2 linked regions of the Canis lupus familiaris genome follow. The protein of the gene in region 2 purifies or fractionates together with the protein of the main gene of each other region. This does not show direct contact. Links are inferred from orthologs where the notes say so. Each region holds a gene or a part of one and is shown on either strand. Other genes may lie near its edges.

Evidence for each region.
Region 1: the proteins of NMNAT2 (region 2) and FBXO45 purify together in Homo sapiens (co-immunoprecipitation; 3 studies listed by BioGRID and IntAct, with this or other methods). This does not show direct contact. The link is inferred for Canis lupus familiaris from reciprocal best matches to the Homo sapiens genes NMNAT2 and FBXO45.

What each region holds. Positions count from the first base shown.
Region 1 is NC_049254.1:30,322,860-30,330,732, forward strand, and holds the start of FBXO45 (F-box/SPRY domain-containing protein 1), read left to right. Parts: upstream 1-3,409; coding exon 3,410-3,712; exon of another isoform or gene 3,713-3,732; intron 3,733-7,873. Other genes in the region: WDR53 (WD repeat-containing protein 53), read right to left, coding at 2,573-2,577. UniProt on the Homo sapiens protein: Component of E3 ubiquitin ligase complex consisting of FBXO45, MYCBP2 and SKP1. Functions in substrate recognition but also plays an important role in assembly of the complex.
Region 2 is NC_049228.1:16,510,569-16,517,952, forward strand, and holds part of NMNAT2 (nicotinamide/nicotinic acid mononucleotide adenylyltransferase 2), read right to left. Parts: intron 4,974-7,384; coding exon 4,872-4,973; intron 4,717-4,871; coding exon 4,649-4,716; intron 2,322-4,648; coding exon 2,219-2,321; 3' UTR 1-2,218.

The sequences.
Region 1 (7,873 bases), on a different chromosome or scaffold from region 2:
CATACCCAAAGACCATCATCAAAACATATTAAAAGACTACTGTAGTAGAAGACAGTGGGGAAAAAAAATGTAGTTAAATCTGGGTTAAATCAAAACAATCTTTCAGAAATGAGCTGTCCAGCCACTATTTCTTGTTTTTCTCTTACTGGGAGTGGAAAGCCAGAAAATACATATAAGTGACATTATCTACATATTCAGGTATCAGGTCAACAAGCTGCTCATAGGTAATGTCTAAAAGGTCAAGCACAGCAATTAATCATATCCTATTGTGAATTACTGTAATTAGATAATAGATTCCTTCAACACCTAGTGAGATCATGGAGTGGGCAGGGAAAGGTGGGGTATCTTGAGAGCATTTTTAGAAAGGGTGGAGGGAAACATGGAAACTCTGGTCAGAGGGCAAAAGGGTATTAAATATGGGGGAAGGGCAAGGTCAGGAGGGTGATTTGTAGAAACAAAAGGATCCAGTCCTAAAGAAAATCTTTAGGTGGCTCAGTCAGTGAAGCATCTGACTCTTAATCTCAGGTCAGGAGTTTGAGTCCCGAGTTGGGCTCCACCCTGGGCATGGATCCTACTTAAAAAAAATCTTTTCCTATTTTGAAATTTTGCCTGGGCCACTTGGGAAGGGGGAGTACTTTGCCACAGAGGCACCTCAATGACTGGACTAGATTAATATCTCATCAGATCCTTCCTCACCTATACCGTGACTGGCAGGATAAATGCCAAAGTTGTTAATAACTGATGATCTCCAAATACTGCTTTAGTTATACTTCCATGTGCCCACATATCCTTTTCAAGTGTTATACCTCTAAGTCTGTTGATTTTGCCTGGTTCTTTGTCCCCTTCGCAGATGGACCAATTCTACTTATCCTTTTAGATTTTATTTATTTTTATTTTTTTATTTTTTAAGATTTTATTTATTTATTCATGAGAGACAAAGAGAGAGAGGCAGAGACACAGGCAGAGGGACAAGCAGGCTCCATGGGGAGAGCCTGATGTGGGACTCCATCCCAGGACCCCAGGATCTTGCCCTGGACCAAAGGCAGGCGCTAAACTGCTGAGCCACCCAGGGATCCCCTTCTTCTAGATTTTAAAGAAGGGCACCTGGGTGGCTCAGTCAGTTAAGTAAGACTCTTGATCTCAGCTCAGGTTTTCATCTCAAGGTCATCAGTTTGAGTCTTGCACTCAGTGTGGAGCCTACTTAAAAAAAAAAAAAAAAAAAAAAAAAAGACAAAAAAATTTAAGTGCCTTCCCAGACAAAATTAGGACATCCTTCTTTGGATGTCCTATAGTTAAAAGTTGAAAAATAAATAATGAGGGGCGCCTGGGTGGCTTAGTTGGTTAATAAGCAGCTGCCTTCAGCTGGGGTCATGATCTCAGGGTCCCAGGATGGAGCCCCCACCTTGAGCTCCGTGCTCAGAGGATAGTGTGCTTCTCCCTCTCCCCCTCTGCTCATGCATGCTCATTGTCTCTCAAATAGCTAAAAATCTTAAAAAAACAACAACAACAAAGAGAAAATAATGAATAAAACTCCCAAACTTGAGATTATACTAACATTCAAATAATATAAGGTAGTTACTATCACTATAGCAAGTCTAAGTTAACTTTTCTTCACATGGTTGGATTTTCCAAAGTTGGTTCAGATGTGGAAAAGCTGGATAGCAACCAAAATGATTGAAGGGGGGTCAGCCCGGGTGGCTCAGGGGTTGAGCATCTGCCTTAGGCCCAGGGAGTGATCCTGGAGACCTGGAATCGAGTCCCACATCGGGCTCCCTGCATGGAACCTGCTTCTCCCTCTGCCTGTGTCTCTGTCTCTCATGAATAAAAAAATAAAATCTTAAAAAAAAAAAAAAAAGATTGAAGGGCTGTGGTTATTAGCACTGGTCAAGTAAAGAATCTGGGTTACTAAACTGGGAGAAAAAAAAAAAAAAAAACAACAAAACACCTGGGGGTGAAAAAACATCTGGGAGGAAGGGACTGGCAAATAATCATCAAACACCATTTACCAGAGAGTAGAAAAGGTAGTAGCTGTTCTTTTAAGCGAAGGACTATAAATGTATTATACACGGCAGGGGAACTATTGGAAATATTTCTTATTACATACAGGCAACACAGTGGAGTTCACTACCAAGGGAGTCTGTGGACCCGATACTAATCACTGCAGAGTTGTCTGAGAATTATACAGAAGGGCAGCCCCGGGGGCTCAGCGGTTTAGCACCAGCCTTCGGCCCAGGGCGTGACCCCGGGGTCGCGGGATCGAGTCCCACGTCGGGCTCCCTGCGTGGAGCCTGCTTCTCCCTCTGCCTGTGTCTCTCATGAATAAAGAAATAAAGTCTTAAAAAAACATCATATATAAGACCCAGGTGAAGGAGCCTAACGCAGTGCCCGTCCACAGGATGCTCACTGCTTCCCTAAGCATCCCTTACAGGGCGTCAGACAGCTCTCGGCCGCCTGGAGAACGCAGTGCGACCCAATGATGCTTCAACTCCTCCGCTTCCAGGAGCCATCTAGCACCACAGCCCCCACACCATCCTCCCTCTTGGGATGTCTCATTATATCAAAACACGATTACTTCATCGGCCCACGAATCGGGTTAGCAGGAGAGGCCGGGGAAGGCCCCACTTCGTGCAGAAGAATGAAGCACCTACGGGCTCGCGAGCACTGGGGGCGGGGGCGGGGGGGGGGCAGGGCTCCTAACGACGACCCGACTTGCCGAACACGCGCTGGGACACGTGTCCTGAGAAGTACCGGTGCGAGCCGAGCGCGAAGGGGCCGGACCAGGAGGCGGCTTCAGCGGCTGCGGGTCACGGAGGCGCTCGGACTGCGGCCGACGGCGGCGGGGCCGGGGGCCGGAGGGCGAGGAGAGGGCAGTTCCGCGCGGGAGGGTGGATCTGAGGCAGCGGCCCTCACGGGGACACCTCACGGGGAAAGGGGCCCAGCAAGGCGACTCCAGACCAAAGCGGAGGACAGTCCCGCAGCCACAGCGCGAGCCTCCTACCTGCGCCTCCCGCCTCCGTCCTCGGCGCCCGGAGATGACCTCACTCGCCGGCGCGACAGTCACATCCGGGGCCGACGGGCGCCGCGGAAGAGCTGCGCATGCGCGCTCGCTGCGTGCCCTCAACCAGTATGGCGGAGCCCCGGGCGCGCCGCGGGCAGGCCGTGCGAGTCGGGCGGTGGCGCCGCCCGCGCTGAGCCGGGGAGGAGGGGCGGGGGACGCCGGTGCGGCCGGTGCGTCCGCCCTCAGGGAGGCGGGGCGCGCGGCGGACGCCCCCGGGCAGGGGCGGGAGCGGCGGAGGGCCGGCGGCCGGTTGAGAAAGGGGCGGCGAGCGAGGCGCGGCGTCCGCAGCCGCGACGACGGGGGGGAGCGGCGGCGGCGGCGGCGGCGGCCCCCGGGCCGGCTGGTGAGGCGATGGCGGCGCCGGCCCCGGGCCCTGGGGCAGCCTCCGGCGGCGCGGTGGGCGGCGCGGGCGCGGGCGCGGGCGGCGGCGGCGGGGGCCCGGGGGGCCGGCTGCCCAGCCGGGTGCTGGAGCTGGTGTTCTCCTACCTGGAGCTGTCGGAGCTGCGGAGCTGCGCGCTGGTGTGCAAGCACTGGTACCGCTGCCTGCACGGCGACGAGAACAGCGAGGTGTGGCGGAGCCTCTGCGCGCGCAGCCTGGCCGAGGAGGCTCTGCGCACGGACATCCTCTGCAACCTGCCCAGCTACAAGGCCAAGGTGAGGGCCCGGCCGCCGGCTGCCCGGGGCGGCGCCTCTCCCGCGAGCCCGGGAGCGCTGCGCTCCCCGTCCGCAGAGAGCCTCTTCTCTGCGAACTCGTGCTCCGTAACCCGCCCCACTTCCGCGCTGCACACTTTTTAAAGGGTCGGACAGTTGGCAGTCCCCGGTCCCCATCCATCACTGCTTCCAGCGTCCAGTCCTCTCCCGCGGAGACGGGCAGGCCCTCCCCGCCACCACCGTCCCCCTCAGTGCTCTTACCCCGTTTCTTGTTAGATCATCTCAGCTCCCTGGACACCGGCTTAGTTGCTAAGATCTTTGCTAACACCTCACCTTTTCCAGCCTCTGATTTGTGACTGTTTCCCCTCTCCTCCCTCCCTCCCTCCCTCCCTCCCTCCTCTTTTCGCCCAAGTTTTCTTTAATTCCCTCCATTACGTTTCAGGCTTATAGGTGAGTGTGGTCCTAGACATTCTGCTAACTTTGAAGATACAGGCTTTTTTTTTTTTTTTTTTTTTTTTTTTAAGATTTTATTTAGTTATTCATGAGACGCAGAGGGAGAAGCAGGCCCCATGCGGGGAAGCCCCGACGTGGGACTCGATCCTGGGACCCCGGGGTCACGCTCTGGGCTGAAGCGAAGGCGGCGCTAAACCACTGAGCCACCCAGGGATCCCAAGACACAGGCTTTATTTTTATTTTACTTTTAAAGATTTTATTATTTATTTATTTATTCATGAGAGACACGGGGCGGGGGGGGGGGGTTCGGGCAGAGATACAGGCAGAGGGAGAAGCAGGCTCCATGCAGGGAGCCCGACGTGGGACTCTATCCCCGGACCCTGGGGTCAAGCCCTGGGCAGAAGGCGGCTCTATACCGCTGAGCCACCCAGGGATCCCAAGACACAGGCTTTATTTTTATTTATTTTTTAAAAGATTTTATTTATTTATTAATGAGAGACACACACACAGAGAGAGAGGCAGAGACACAGGCAGAGGGAGAAGCAGGCCCCATGCCGGGAGCGCTATGCGAGTCTCTATCCCGCGACCCCGGGGTCACGCCCAGGGCTGAAGGCGGCCTAAACCGCTGAGCCACCCAGGGGGCTGCCCCACACAGCCTTTAATAAAACGTCCCCTACCGCCCCACGCGCACCACTGAACCGTCCTAATGCTGCCTTGTCCCCATGTTACTGGCTACTTCCCTGCCAACTTTCTCATAGTTTCACCTCTTGCTGCTGTGCCTCTTCTGTTCCATCTGTCTTCTAATGTGCTCATTCTGGTTTTGCTGCCTTTTTTCCTCCTAGATTCTTGGGCATATTCCTGCCTCCTTCATATACAAATAAAAATCTCAAGTAACAGGTTATGGTAGGGCTGAGAAGATTCTTCAGGCAATGTCCTATAAACAAAGGCCTTGAGGTTGAATTCAGTCGGATGGATAACAGCTCTTCAGTGTAGCAGTCACCCAGAGCATATAGGAGAGAGGATGAAGTCTGCCCTAGGATGTGTAAACATAAGAAATAACATTAATAACTAAAAAGGGTAGATACCCTTTTTGAAACTAGACTGCCAAGCAGGGGGGAGTTTTGTTCAGAACATTGCAGTTTTGTCCTATTTTGCCTAAAAACAGGTAGGCTTCATACGATTTATTTATTTATTTATTTATTTATTTATTTATTTATTTATTTATTTATTTATTTATTTATTTTTAAAAGATTTTATTTATTCATGAGAGACCAGAGAGATAGAGAGAGAGGCAGAGACACAGACCGAGGGAGAAGCAGGCTCTATGCAGGGAGCCCGATGCGGGACTCGATCCTGGGTCTCCAGGGTCACGCCCTGGGCGCTAAACCGCTGAGCCACCTGGGCTGCCCCATTTTATTTAGTTTTTATTTTTTCATAAAGCTTACTGTTTTTACTTATTTTGAATTAAGACCTATCTGTAACTGGTCTGTAATAGATATATTTACATGAGTCAAGATTCATTAAACAGTGTGTTAGGTAATGTGTTCATGTGAGTCAACAAGTAAAAGAAGCAAAATAATATCAGCAAAATGTCTTCCTTTTGCCCTTTTTGCCAGCTACCCAGTTTAGTTTCCTTTCTTGGAGGCAACCTGTGTTACCTGTTTATTTTGTATCCTTCCAGAGAGATATTTTGAGTTTCTTAGGTTTTTAACACTGTATATGTCCTTCTACCACACCTGTGATATGTACTAATCATGTGTTCGTTCAGATGTTGGGGAACTTTTCTTGAATGTCTTGAGGATAAAAAGGTTAATTCAAAAGAAGTTAGCCTATTAAGGAAGTCCTCAGTCAAGTAAAGGAGAAGAAAAATGTATAGTAATAACTAACACATGATACAAATTGCTTCTGTTAGAGATGTATATAAATACAGTATCTACTAGAAGTATATATATACACACACTAGAATTTCAGTGAAAGGAGAGATGTACAAGTTGAATGAATCTTGGAGAAGGTTTGAGGTTAGGATTATATTTGAGCTGAATTTTAGGATAGGGAAGGTTTGAACATTTTACTAAGAACTACTACCCAGAACAAGAGCAAGACAAGAAGAAAGCAAAGGCTCTATACAGCATCTATTTTTATTTAAAAAAAATAGTGAGTCCGAGGCACTGTGCTCATTTCTGCAGATGCAATGGTGAATAAAAACAGACATAAAACTCATGGATGCCTTGTTTGTGGAGCTTATAGTTTAATGGAGGGGGAGTGGATAGATATTAATCAAATAATCAGTTATAAAATTGCATCTGTGACAGGTACTATGAAGGAGAGGTGAGCAATACTCTGAATGTTAGTAATGGAGGATTTGACCTAGGTATGCAGGTCAAGAAAGGCTTTCTCTGAGGAAATACGCGTGATCAGAGACTTGAACAATAAGGCCAGGGGTGAGAAGAGAACCTTCCAGGAGGGAGAATGATGAGAATGAGGGACAGAAAATACATCAGTGTGGCTAGATCATAGAGAGCCAAGGTGAGACAAGTTTGAGAGAAGATGAGAGAGGTGGACTGAGGCCAAACTATAGGGAAGCCATTTTAAATTGTAAGCAAGAGGGGGTTTGGTGATGTGATTTTTTTTTTTTTTTTGCATTTTTAAGAGGTTATTTCTGACTTCGATATAGAGAACAGATTGGAGGAGGACCTTAGAAATACAGGTAGATCATTTAGGAAGTGGGTAGTAGAGGAGATGGGGAGAAATTTAGGAAAGATTTAGGAAGTAAAATCTACAGGACTTGGCAATAGATTGGAAATAGGGGTGAGGGATGGGGAGGTGCTAAGAATGACTTCTAGATATCTAGATTATATAATTATGGGAATCACCTGGGCTAGATTTAGGAGGCATAGCAAAGAGTTCAATTTTGGTAGAGTAGAATTTAGTGTTTTTGAGATATCTGGGGGATTTCAGATAGGCAGTTGTTCGGTTTGGAGCTTAGAGGAAGGGCTAAAGATATAAAAGGATCTAGTGAGATTGAATTGAAGAAGTGGGAAATATGATTATAAAGGTAAGTTGAAACTAGATATATCTTGGTTGTTCTTGGCATATAGCCTTCAGTGTATAGTTTGGGCTTTGTTCTACTGTTGTAAACCATAGAAGTTTGAACAGAGGAGTGATAAATAAGAGCTGTGCTTTAGAAAAACTAGGCCATAAGATGAATTGGACAGAGCAGGGGTTAGTACCTATACCAGAGATACTTAAGACCTGAACAAGGGAACCCTGGGTGGCGCAGCGGTTTAGCGCCTGCCTTTGGCCCAGGGCGCGATCCTGGAGACCCGGGATCAAATCCCACGTCGGGCTCCCGGTGCATGGAGCCTGCTTCTCCCTCTGCCTGTGTCTCTGCCTCTCTCTCTCTCTCTCTGTGTGACTATCATAAATAAATAAAAAAAAAAAAAAAAAAAAGAAAAAAGACCTGAACAAGCATGTAGAGGAGAGAAGAGAAAGGCTAGGAAAGCTATCACAAGGTACAAATCTACATAGGTGGACAGCTGACTGGGGGTGAATGAGATGAGGAAGGAGGAAGAGTCAGATAGGATTTCCAGGGAGCTTATGTAACTAAGAGGAAGATGGAAACATGCGTGGGATAGCATAAAACTGGAAAGTATTTGGAGTTGCCAGTCTATTTAGGATTTGTCTTCTTTTTAAAAGTTCATATTTTACATG
Region 2 (7,384 bases):
CCATCACACCCACCCCTCGGACTCGCATATGCAATGCCCTATACAGGAGCAGCTGGATGAGACATAATTTAAAAGAAAGATGCCAGGTAAAGGCTGAAAAGAGTGGAAACCACACGTTACGTGGCCAGTATCATGAGGAACCAGGGGATAGAGACCATGTGATATGAAGCCTTAAGGGTCAGGGAAACAATATCCTTTTCTCAGGCTCTACACTTGCTGTGTGACCTTAGACCAGCCATTTAATCCAGTGGACCTCTGCTCCTTTATCTTTTAAAGGAGAATGTTGAATCAACTAATCTCTGAAGCTTTGTTTCTTTTTTCATTTATGATTTCACCATCCTTAACCAAACACTGAGAACCAAAAATAGGATCTTCATTCCCTCCTCTGGAGATTATTTCCATAATCCAAAAGGAATAACACTCTACTGGTTGCTACTCTGACATGCTCTTCTATTGAATCCAGTTCCCTTTCCTGGAGGCTATGGAAGACTGTCACAGACATGAAATATGTGCTGAAGAATGATGTCCCTGATGTCAGATCTCACCACCACCCCCATCCTGGGCCATAACTGGTACTAGATTTTCATAAAAGTATCCTGTTGCTCAGGGACCCATTCTGTGAAGACAACTGGAAACCCAAGAGCCAGGGACTAGATGAGAGACACAGAGCATAAGAGAATAATTTCCTTTTGGCTCTCAAAACGGAGCATGACTGAGACCAGAACAGCTAGAACAGTTTGTCAAAACCATTTCCAGGAGCAGCGGAGGAAGGTAAGAAATTACAAAAAGGGTGAAACAACTTAGTGGCTCTTAATGCCCTGCCTGCCATGACCTCTGCTCTCTGAACCCACTCCCCTGCCAGACGGACTTCCTCAGACGATGACTGTGGTTTCTGGGCTCTGGAGGAGATAGGATCAGCTCCAGAAACAAGACCGAGGTACTGTGTTTCCAGAAGAAACTGACCTCGGGTGCCACCTGCATCACCGCAGCAAGAATGGGTAAGGACCATCAATTCCCATTAGAGCAACAAGCCGCTCTTGGTCATCCTTGACTTACATCATGACAGAAAAATCTCCCAGCCACACAGGCAAGAGATAATTCCAATTAGCAAAGATCTCTAGGGTTGAGTGAATCCCTAGCATGTTTTATTTCAGAAATGGCTGCATTATTAGGATTTGGCCTTGACTATGCGATTCTTCTCAGATGCAGGAATGTGGCTAGGTATGAGCTCCAAGGGCTTAGGTAGAGACCTGAAGGTTCCTTGGACACGCTGGGCTGGCAGAGAACAAACTCTGCCATCAGTCACAGCCCAAAGGAGGAACCGTACAGATGCCACCAGGATATGAGGGTGGACTGGCTCTGTGTGATCACAGGCCCGGAGCATCGGGAAAATGGTCTTCTGAACCTAAGGAAATGGACGCAAATTCTTCTGAGAAACCCTACTATTCCCAGACTTGCCTCCCAGGGTTTGGAACCTGAAGGCCTCAGTCCTGAGCCTGGCCCGCACCTGCTGTGTGTGTGGGGGGCGGGGGGGGTGTGTGGGGTGTGAGTGGGCAGGTGGCGGCGGCCTGGCCTTCCTTACTGTGTGGCTGTCACGCAGGTGCTGAGCGCTGAGGCTGGCCATGGTATCCTATCCAAAGGGAAGTTCACACCACAGGAGCGCATCAAGACTACAAACATAAAGAACCATGGACACGGGTTTCATCCAAATTCTATGAGGAGTGAACAACACCAACACCAACCAAACAAAACCAAACCAAAACGCAAGAGAAGGAAAAAAAAAAGAAAAAGAAAAAGAAAAGAAAGAAACATAGCCCTTCATGGTAAAGGGCATGCTGGGAAGGCGAGAGCCAGAGCCGCCTCCCCAGAGCATGCTGGGAGGACGGGCACTGGAGCCGCTCTCTAGAGCATGCTGGGGGACAGACACCAGCACGTCTCCGGGGACTGCACTTCCCCCAACTCCCACCCCTATTCCCTCACCCACCCCCAACCCGGAGACCAGAGGGGAGTCTGTCCGAGGATGACAGCTGAGTAGGGTATGCTGTGGTTCTCTGCAGGTCCCCCACACCGTGGAGGGTTGAGTCGGCAGGTGGGGAGAACAGTCAAGACGAGGAGTGGAGACACAGAGAGGCAGGAGAGGAACCAGGGGACAGAGACTGGAGGGGCCAGTGTGTTGGCGGAGGACGAGGGGAGAGTGGAGCCGAGGGCCGGGTGGCTGCTAGCCCGAGGCGTTGATGTACAGCTGGCTCTTGAGGATGTAGTCGATGACCGGCTGGGACAGGTAGTCCACCACGTGGCCGTCCCCGTGCTGCAGGGCCAGCCTGGATGGGAAGAGACGGGGCTCAGCTGACCCCCTCCCTGACCCAGGCTCAAGGGCCTGGCCCTCGCTTTCAGGGAGAGGGTTTACCCGCCACCCCAGCCCCTGCCTCTGCTTAGGCTGCAGGAAGGCTGCATAGGTTCCCCAATGGGCAGAAGCTCGCTGGCCCCAGAACTGCGCCCCGACCCCGGTGACTCCATTCCATCCTGGCTCTGCCATTTCCTCGCACAGGCGCCCCTGGCAGGTTATCGAAGCCCATCCGTTCGTTTCCTCCTCCGTAAGATGAGGGTAATATGTGGGCCAATCTCCTTCACTTATGAAAAGGATTTTTAAAAACATAAAAGGATGAAACGAGTCATGCAAAGAGCCTTTAGAAGAGCCCAAACACACAGTAGGTATTTAAATGGGTTAGCTACTCCTATTTCATTCCTTTGTGTTTCTCTGCATCGTGGTCTCAGGAACATGCATCTCCTGATTGACCACTTCTCTTCCTTCCTACTGGAACCCTGACAGAGAAGAAGGTGACCTCTTCTGAGGAGCTTCTCACAAGCCCCGGTGGCTGTGGAGGAGGGTACCTCCAGGTACGAAAGGGATCCAGTGATGGATGAGCTTCGGCTTCTTCATAGTTGTCCTCTAGCTGCGGTCTGGCTGCTTCCCATTCTCTGCTCCTATGATAGTCTTGGGAATGTCAGGCCCCAAGGAGCTATTTGTAAAAAATGCACATACTCTTTCCAGAAATGTAGATTCTGCAAGGCATGTGAGCCCTGCCCTGTGAGACCTCTTCAGAGGCTGGCCCGCTGCCTCTTCAGTGCATACACTCTCCTGATCTTGCAAGCACACGAGGTCCCTAAGTGTCTCCCTGCACAGCTCATGGGGAAGCTTCTTGAAAAAGTGGTCTGTACCCATGGTTTCCAAATGCCAATCCCAACTTGATCAGAATCACCCAGGAAGCAGATTCCTAGGCTCATCCACCACAGATGCCAATTTGGTAGGATTGAAGAGGACACAGGAATTTGTGTGCTTGTGTACGTTTGTGGGGTAATTTTGTTGTGCAGCCATGTTTGGAATCAAATCCCTCTCCTCTCCCCTCACTGGCCATTGTCATTGGGTTTCAACTCTCACCACACAGTTTGATGCTACTCTTTTAATACATAATCACCTTCCAGGGAAGAAGTCCACTGGATCTTTAAAAATGCTGGACCCATCTCATTTCTCTGAAATATGTGACAGAGATGACAGTGATGTACATCTTTGTGCCTCTCCTGCCTTGGTTCTTGGGCCAGCACTGCTCCTTAGCCTTAGGCTCCTTAGCCTTCTTTTAAATGCTGCCCTTCTTATTGACTTTCCCTGTGAGCTCAGCCACACTCTTAACGTAACTTACACTTCTGTGCTCATGGCTGTCAGTTCTATTCCAGTTCCAGAGCTCTATATTCATATATGTCGCCATTCTACTGGACAGTTCCATTTGGGGTGGAGACTGTTACCTGGCCCCTAGCATCCATTCTGTCCTTCTTCTATTTAATAGAACCTGAGTTTAAGCTGGGCACATAAAGTCCATTTCCCAGGCTCCCTTAAAGCAAGGTATGGCCTTGTGACTGGGGCTGAACTGGTAGGATGTAGGGGGAAGCGATGTGTACAACTTTGAGTCACTTTTTTAAAGACAAGCTCCTGCTCTTTCCAGCAGTCATGACAGGAGCTGTGGACCAACAGACAGGGGCTTCATGTTGAGGAGGTCAGAGATTCAATCTCTTTTGACTTCAGTAAGAGGGAAGTAAACATTTCTCTTATTTAAATTGTGACTATTTGGGCTCTTTTTTTAATGCAGCTTAGCTTGTACTCTTATTAATACAGTATTTTATAAACACTTCAAACTAAAGAGTCTCAAATTAAAAATATCCTCTTCCTCCTGCAAACCAACTAAAACTAGCTAATGACACCCCCCCCCCTTAAAAGTAAATGACTGATGGAGTGCCTGGGGGGCTCAGTCGGTTGAGGGTCTGACTCTTGGTTTGGACTCAGGTCATGATCTCAGGATGGTGAGATCAAGCCCCATGTTGGGCTTTGTGCTGTGTGTGGAACCTGCTTAAGATTCTCTCTCTGCGCTCTCCCTTTGCACCTCCCCCACTGCTCGTGTATGTGCTCACTCTCTCTCTCTAAAAATACCCCAAAACATATAAATGACTAGGGACAAATACATAAAGTCCCCAAAGAAGGCTGAATATCAGGCAGCAGGTGTCAGCAAATGTAGGGGTCAGCTGGAACTGAGGAAAGTTGTATTAAAACTTGTAAGCCCATTTGACCAAGGTTCCTCTGGCAGTTTGTCAAACATACCTGCTCTTGGTTGAGCTGACAACAGACATGGGATGGTTGATGTCATCCTTCACCACCATAATGTTATTCTGGGGACAGAGCAGAAAAAGTAGATTGCCCGCCTCTCACACTGAAACTCTTCGGGTGCCCTCACTCCACCAGCACACCATCCCCCTGCCCCCGCAGGCCCCTGGGAGAAGGAACGCACCATACAGCTAGAGCAGCAAGGAGGTGGAGGACTCACTTTGTATTTGCGGAGTATTGAGGAGTGATTCATGATTCGGTCTGTGTCAGCTGCATCCCGGGGCACCACCACAATCCCAAAGTCCCCCACGATCACCTCCATCTGAAAAAACAGAGAGAGAGAGTGTCCTTGGGTGAGACCATGACTCCAACCCCTACTGAGCAGCCACTTAGCGGGTAGAATGATCTTCCACATGGAACCCCAAGCTCTGGTGCTACGCTTGCCTTTTCAACCCTACCAGTCAGCTCTTTCAAGTAATAACCTGTAACAGTGTTAGTGGAATGAGTGGGAACTTTGCCTGGCACAACAGAAGATGCTTAATAAATACCTCTAGACCGAATGAATCAATGTGCTCTTGCATGTCTGGGCAAGAGCTCTCCAATTCCTGAGGTTCCTGTTGAGTTCATTATGCTAAAAGTAATAGGAATGACACATAGTCTTTACACGGTAGACGCCCTCACAGGTGACACAGTTCCCACTGCCCAGCAAGCGTACCCCCAGCTCTCAGCCACGCAACTGAGAAAGGGTCACCCATGCCAAAGCTGTTGGGGACTCAAGGGTCATGAGGAGCATGCAAGGGCTTGGAATGCCTGTGTGAGCATGGCAGTGATGGGAAGAAGATTACTATGAGGTCACTTCTGAGATCAGCCTCTTTATTTATTATGCTTGCTGCCATAATGAGAAATGAAGACTTTACATTAAGAATAAAATGATTTTTTTCTGGTTATAGACACAGTACAAACTCTGGAAATTCAGGAGAAAAAAATCTATCACAACCACACGACCTGGACAACTACTCTGAACATCATGTATTCCTCTCCAGTGTTTTCTTCTCTACACAAAAATGTTATTTTATCTGTATTTTTTACTTAGCATGAAATTGTGAGCATTTTTTCACATTGTTAAAAATTATTTGAAAAAATTAAGTTTTAACAGTCTGATTATTTCATTGTCTGTACTATGATATATATGATATATTAAACCAATCTTGTATTACAGAATGTGTAGAGTTACTTCTGAGGAAGTAATTTTTTGCAAGTATACATAACATTTGGTTGAAGATCTTTATATATAAATCTTTTACCACATCTCTGCTTGTTTCCTTAGGATAAGAAGTAAAATAATTAGATGAAAGGATATAAACTGAACATATTTCAAACTCTTAAGACATAATACCAAGTTGCTTTCTGGAACCTTGTGCCAATTTTTATTTTCAAAAAACCTGAAATTTATGGCATTTAATAGACTTGGATCTAGCCCGGGCATATTGCTGTTTAGATCTTGCCAATTAAGGATCCTGGATGGGGAGAGAAAGGAGGGGGGAGACAAGTTGCTTCTAAGGAGCACAGTTCATTGTGCAAGACCTGCTGTGGTGGCAAGGGGCCCAAGTTTTTCCTTTGAATAAGTACCACAAAAACAGACACTATGGAGCACTGTGGCCACTTTTTCTCTATCGGACAATTTCTACCTGAGCAGAATGCCACTCCTCAGTTTGATTCATTGATCATGTTCGAGTATGTATGTATGTGTGCACCCGTGCATGTGTACACATGCCCTTGGGTATTTCCATCACCTTTACCCTACTTCTCCCATTGCTTATAACTGGAGCTAGTTGCAGCTGGAACTCTGATATTGCTGACACAAAAAACTGGTTGAAGGTGCCCTGGGATGGAAGTTGTGAAGAGAAGTTAGAAGCTAGGTATAGAATATCAGAGTCTATAAAAATATGTATATATATATGTATATATATGTATATATATATACATATATGTATATATTGTGTGTGTGTGTATATATGTATATATATATATATATATATATATATATATATATCAGAGCCTCCACTGGATCATGCTGTTTGGAAGATACAGAACATTATACAGCACAGGCATCTATTGGTAGTGTTCAGATGGGAAACTGGCACCAAGCATTTACCCTATAAACCAGGAATGTTAGGGAGAGGCGGGATAAGAAGTTGGAGGTAGATCCACCTCCTCCTCCACAGCTTTTTGCATTGGGAATATTACACTGGTATTCACTACTCAGAAGGTAACCCGAGGCACTGGTTCTCAAATTTGGCTGCACATCAGAATCATCCAAGGATCTTTCAACACTCTCGAAGTCCAGCTCCTGCCCAAGAGCAGTTAAACCAAATCTCTGAGAATGGGACCTAGGTATCATAGTTTTTAAAATTTCCCAGGTGATTCCAATATGCAACCAGCTTGAGGACCAGGGGTCTAAGTACTACTTAAAACTCCAGGGGAAGTGGTAGGGCAGAGAAAGATAAAAGAGAAGGGAGGAGAGATGAGGAGAGGAAGGGGAAGGGAGAGGAGTGGGAAGGGGAGAAGAGGGGAGGGGATCCATCCAAGTTGGCATACGTGGACATTCCTCAACTGCCTTTCTAAAAGACTCAAGATACGTGGTGTACATGGCATCATGTAGGATCCGACTTCAATTTGATTTTGAGAACTTGGTAGATGTTCCATAAGTGATGAAGGAAATAATAGGGTTAT